2 linked regions of the Tribolium castaneum genome follow. The protein of the gene in region 2 binds, or shares a complex with, the protein of the main gene of each other region. Links are inferred from orthologs where the notes say so. Each region holds a gene or a part of one and is shown on either strand. Other genes may lie near its edges. The genes, in order: bcn92 and ND-ACP.

The links.
Region 1: the proteins of ND-ACP (region 2) and bcn92 are in contact, whole or in part, in a crystal structure (PDB 6ODD), measured with the Homo sapiens proteins. The link is inferred for Tribolium castaneum from reciprocal best matches to the Homo sapiens genes NDUFAB1 and LYRM4. Residues at the interface, in NP_004994.1 of Homo sapiens: Lys92, Asp111, Ser112, Leu113, Asp114, Val116, Glu117, Met120, Glu123, Asp124, Glu129, Ile130, Asp132; in NP_065141.3 of Homo sapiens: Arg6, Leu10, Ser11, Tyr13, Arg14, Leu17, Arg18, Lys21, Arg37, Phe40, Arg41, Lys44.

Annotation. Positions count from the first base shown.
Region 1 is NC_087396.1:23,067,438-23,069,913, forward strand, and holds bcn92 (protein bcn92), read right to left. Parts: upstream 1,196-2,476; 5' UTR 1,130-1,195; coding exon 1,053-1,129; intron 1,010-1,052; coding exon 889-1,009; intron 840-888; coding exon 771-839; 3' UTR 721-770; downstream 1-720. Other genes in the region: Mat89Ba (nucleolar protein 6), read left to right, coding at 1-553, 598-720; Mettl3 (N6-adenosine-methyltransferase catalytic subunit), read left to right, coding at 1,253-1,834, 1,882-2,329.
Region 2 is NC_087399.1:2,701,148-2,704,218, reverse strand, and holds ND-ACP (mitochondrial acyl carrier protein 1), read right to left. Parts: upstream 1,552-3,071; 5' UTR 1,511-1,551; coding exon 1,355-1,510; intron 1,246-1,354; coding exon of another isoform or gene 1,138-1,245; intron 1,114-1,137; coding exon 997-1,113; intron 922-996; coding exon 742-921; 3' UTR 687-741; downstream 1-686. Other genes in the region: SPRY domain-containing SOCS box protein 3, read left to right, coding at 8-232, 277-488; SWI/SNF-related matrix-associated actin-dependent regulator of chromatin subfamily A containing DEAD/H box 1 homolog, read left to right, coding at 2,213-2,312, 2,362-2,573, 2,621-2,828, 2,981-3,071. UniProt on the Homo sapiens protein: Carrier of the growing fatty acid chain in fatty acid biosynthesis.

The sequences.
Region 1 (2,476 bases), on a different chromosome or scaffold from region 2:
TATTCAGGCGGTTGTGGTCAATTTCAACAATGAGATTGCAAGTGAGACACTTGCAGAAATCGACTCGAAACTCCTCCAAAATCGCGAGGCTTTGCCCGATTTATTTATCGCAATGCCGTACGACGGCTGTGAGTCTGTTTTTACCAAAAGGGGGCCCTCGAAGTTGGTCTTGCGGAGGGTCAAACAACTGGCAAGTGAGTCTTTGAATTGTTTTGGGCAAATCATCAAAGGAGAGAGTTTTGGTTCAATTAAAAGCTTGTTTATTCCGAATCTTGAGGGGTACGATGTTATTATTCACTTGCGCCCCCTTTTGAACCCCGTACGACACGAACAAGTCACTGGGGACGAGTCCGAGGGGCAAATTGTTTTGGAGGAATTTAACAGAAACGAAAGCACGAAAATTCCAGTCACTGGCTTTAACCCAGTTCAGTTGTATTTGGCCGAACTGCGCAAACATTACGGCGATTTTGCCAATTTTTTCCACGATACGTACGGAGGTAATTTTATCGGGGTTTTGTGGATACCTAAAGCTTTGGAAAGTCGAGACTTCAAGGTGAGATTTTTAGATGTTTTTTGATTTATTACATTTATTTTTAGGTGTCTTATGCAAGCGGGAGGAAACTTGTGAATGGAAAATTGGAGCTGAACGTGGATGCGTTGATTGAAGACTTTTATATTGTGGGAAAAGGCTTAGTCAAGTCAATTGATAAGAAGAAATAAAAAATCAAACAATTACTCTTATTATTTCTAACCATTACAAACCTTACAAATTAGTTTTTTTGGGCCCTCACGTGCTCAATAACCAGTTTTTCGGTGCTATATAATTGACTTACGACCACCTGGAGATAATTACGTCAATTAACCCCTAAACGAATTAATTGTGAATACCTGTCTTTTAATTACATCTAAATTACGAACTCCTTCATCCATTTTTTGCCTAATCACGTCCTGGTCAGTCAATTGTCTATTTTCCCGAAAACTGTCCCTTATCTTCCTTAAGGCATAGTGTCTACAACCCCCAATGAAAAAATCGTTTGCAAAAACGCCCTTACCTGAAGTTATAAGCCGGAAACTTCTTCGACTCGCGAATCAGAGCTTTATACAACTGCAACGCCTGTCTTTTACTCATTTTGCCCCAATTTTACGAAACCGAAAGAACATAACCAAAGAGTTGAGGTTGTGTTAGTTAGCGTTAGCCGTAACCTCAAACATGTGTTAGTTGTGTTTTTTTGGCGGAAAATAGTCTTTTGAAATGTCGGACGCTTGGGAAGAGATCCAAGCTATCAAAAGCAAGCGGAACATCCTGCGCGAACGCCTGGAAAAGCGCAAGAAGGAGCGGCAGGACATCCTTGGTTCGAGTCTCAACTCGTCACCTGTGCACCTGTCCGACAGCCCCCATGCGGGTGGTGTTGGGGGCGAAGATGTTAAAAGACCAGAGGAGGGTGAAATCGATTTGGTGAAAATCGACCCAGAGCTGGAGAAAGAGTTGTTGAAGGCGCTGAGCGAAGTCACTCTTCAGATCCCCACAACTTCGACGGAATTGGTCGATTCGTTGAAATTGACTTTGAAGCGACATGCCTCACATAAGGAAGTTTGCAATTTGTTGCAAAAATTCTCAACTCAGAAGTTGATCACTATCAAGGATTTAGTCAAAGAGGGGAAGAACGTGGTCGAAGTGACTTTTATCGATGTGACTAAAGTTAACGCAATGATTGCGGAGTTTTTGCCTGAACGGGTGAGGGAATCCCTGAAGCGGAAGCGAAACGACTCGGAGAAAAACGAAGACGAAGAGAAGAGGAAAAAAGAGAAGAAGGAACCAAAAGCTGACATCATGGTAATTAACTGATTGATTCTGTCCTTTTAATTAATTAATTTCCCTAGTCTTTACTATCAATGCCCTCAACGAAAGAAAAAGAGAGTAAAAAACTGGGCGAAGAAATTCTAGATCTGTTGAGTAAACCAACGGCCAAAGAGCGTTCGCTGGCCGAGCGCTTCAGGTCTCAAGGGGGCAAACAACTGATGGAGTTTTGCCCCCATGGGACTCGCGCCGACTGCGAACGAAACGGAATCACAGACTGCAAAAAATTGCATTTTAAAAAAATCATACAAAAACACACTGACGAAGCTTTAGGGGATTGTTCCTTCCTTAACACTTGTTTCCACATGGACACTTGTAAATACGTCCACTATGAAGTCGATCGCTGTGGGCAAACGGAGGGCGTAGCCCCGGCCGCCACCGCCGTCTCAGTGGCCCCAAAAGAAAGCACTACCTTGTACCCCCCGCAGTGGGTGCAGTGCGACCTGCGCTATCTCGACATGACTGTCTTAGGTTTGTTTGTCGGTCTTAATAATATTTGCGTTTGGTCGTGACTTCCAAAATTTAAAATCTTGTGAAAAGCTGCCATAATACGTCAAATGAGCCCAGAATTCACTGGAACAAACCGTTTTGCTCTACGACTTTTAGCTTTTGAGTTAT
Region 2 (3,071 bases):
TTCCAAGGTGTTGCATTCCAAGGGTTGAAATCACACAAACTTTACCCCATGATAAGTTCAACAGCAGCACAATCAGCAATGAAAATGACTTGTGCCATTTCAATTGAATCATCTTTACAACTCACTTGCCTTCAGTGTATTATCAAACATCCAGAATTGTACAAACAGTTCAAGAGCATCCCTGGATTAGCTAAAATCTACGAACACAATTTTTTCTGGATGCTTCCGAAAGGTGACTTAACTGTTAATAAAAACCAAGCTTTATTGTTTCTTTAGAATATGAGGACCCTAAACGAAAGGCTAAAGAAAACATATGGTCGTCCAAGCGACGAAAAATGCTGATACCGATCAAGTGGCCGCGCTGTCTCGACTCTGAACAACAAACGCTCAAGATCTCGTTACATTTCACCAACTATAGTGACTCAGAAAGTAGCTGTGATATGAATTATGATGGTTCCGGAGATGCATCAACTTCAAAGGAGGTTTAATAAAGATTTATTCATATTGAGTCTTTCATTGACCAATCCGAGTGCATTATGACGAGCACGTGACAATTCACGACCAATGGGAATGTAATGATCGTTTGACAGTTGGTAGAAAAATAGCGTATGTAATACAATGAAAACACTCAGTTAAAATTTACGCTTTATTAACAAATCAAATTACATTATGGTGCAATTCTGGCAAATCAGTGCCAAAACAAACACAACATTAAGCCTTATCTACTGTTTTACTACAAACCTATTCGTAAATGTCTTCCCTGTCCGCAACATACCTCACGATATCAGCGGGTTTTAGCAGTTTTTCGGCGTCTCCGTCTGGAATTTCGAACCCGAATTCGTCCTCCATGGCCATGATCACCTCCACATGGTCCAAGGAATCAAGCCCCAGATCATTAATAAAGTGTGAGTCTAGCGTGAGCTGAAACGAGTCAATCGTAACACGTCCGTCAGGATCATTCCAGAGACTGTGCCACAAAGTGCAAAATTACCGTACCTTGTCTGGATTGACTTTATCGTACAGTTTTAATACCAAGAGGACGCGGTCTGTGATAAGTTTTAAAGTCAACGGTGGCTTGGAACTGTAACATCGCTCAAGTGGCAAAACCAGTCTCTGAAATAGAAAATTATGTAGTACCTTGTCGGCGGTTACTTTATCATAAGACGCGCAAACTTTCAAAACTCTCTGTTTTATCTCCTCTTCAGTCGGTTTCGTCCGAATTACTTCAGGCGAGTAGAATCGCATCTAATAAAGTGAGGTTAGAAGTTATGTAATCACAAAAAACGCACTTTTTTCCACCAAATCACCCTAATTGAACGGAAATGCAACCGCTAATCGGACAAACTGGACGTACCTGGCTAAGGGGTGCAAATACTGAGCTGCTTGTAACCGGGGGCTGGTCATAATTTTTGTGTTTATTGGCAATGACAGTCAGTGGCCTAATCGCAACAGCTCGTAAATAACTCGAATTTCGGGATAAAACGCGCACGCTTTTTATCAAACCGGACATTTTTGCAAATATTGTTATTCAAAAACTTGGCCTAAATGTCAGCAAATGTCGAGAGGCGGAAACACACAGCGACATCTACGACGTCCGGTCGACTGTCAATCTTGAAAGCCGCGAAACTAAATTATATGTTTAGGTTAACGCAAAAAAATAAATTGCGTTCCCATTACTAGAGAAATGGCATAGAATTAAGAATTTTACTAGCCCCAAGTCACTAAATGAGCCTCTATGGCCCCCAATGACAATGAATTGAAGTACGAAAAGTGTGCTTTGGATTAATTTTACGTTTCATTGTTTTAAGACGCTACACAAAAAAAACCAATTTTACTTCAACTGGTGTTTATTTACAATAAATGCGTTAAATAATTTAACGGTAAGTCACCTTTTACGTTTTTGTGTTTGTTGATCTTAAAACCATTAACTTGTAAGTGTTGTAAGTCGTAGTTTCGTTTTTGTGGTTATTGCAGTTAACGTTGGGTAGAGGACTTTGTATTTTCGGGAAATTTATTATTTATTAGTTTATGAGAGTTGGTTTTAAATTACTTGCGCGAATTTTGCGCTTTTGCCTCATTGCTGCCACCTGTGAGCGGCAATAATCCCACTCTTCCACCATCGTCTGTCAAAGGTGTCTGGTGCCTCAATGAGAACGATTTTGTAGTTTTATACTTAATATTTTATGTTATTTATAAAATTGTAACTGGCGCAATGTCAGAGAACGGCAGCCCCACGTTATTAAATTTGCGCGATTTCCGAATACAAAAAAAGACGTTAAGTCACCACAGTAACAACGGTGCAATTAGCTCCGGTAAGACCAAGTTCATTTTAATTAATAAACTGTTAAACATTGTTTCCAGCATCCAATGGGGCTGTGAGGCGCCGAATAATTGCATTTTCAGATTCTGATTCCGACTGTGATAGTTCTGGAACAAATTCTCAATCTGCGGTGACTCCAAAACCAAATATTGTCATTGTCCCCAATTCGAAAAATATGAAGAATCCGGCCGTTTTGGAGAAGGAGAACCAGATGAAGTATTTAATGTCGTCATTCCCGAATGTTGATGCTATGGTACTGGAGCATGAAATTAGTTTCCTTAAGTGGCGTTTTTAATCTAGGTTATTCACGATGTGCTGTCTCGTCATGGGTTTAAAGTAGACGAAGCGGCGTCGGAGTTGGCCAGGTGTCACGCTGTCGAATTCAATTCGCAAGGTTACGCCAAGTGGAAGGAAGCGAACACTTCAAACAATCCCGAAAGCCTGGTGAAAAGCACTGGCAAGAGGAAACCCTCCCCTGAGAGCGCGCCCTACAACAAACGGAAAAAATGTAACTAGCTTAACAAGATAAAGCCCGGAAAAAAAAAACGTTAATTGAGAAACTTGTTTTTGCAAAATCTCGCTTTTATAATCGTGTCTTTTTTTGGCGGTCAAGCAATTTTCAAGCAGCTATTTCTGGTAAAAAAAAATAATTCTTTGTAGTTAAACGTCGGAAGTCCGATGACGACACGGACGACAGCACTGGCAGCAATCAGGACTTCAAAGACCGTCGCGTGTTTGACAGTGACGAGGA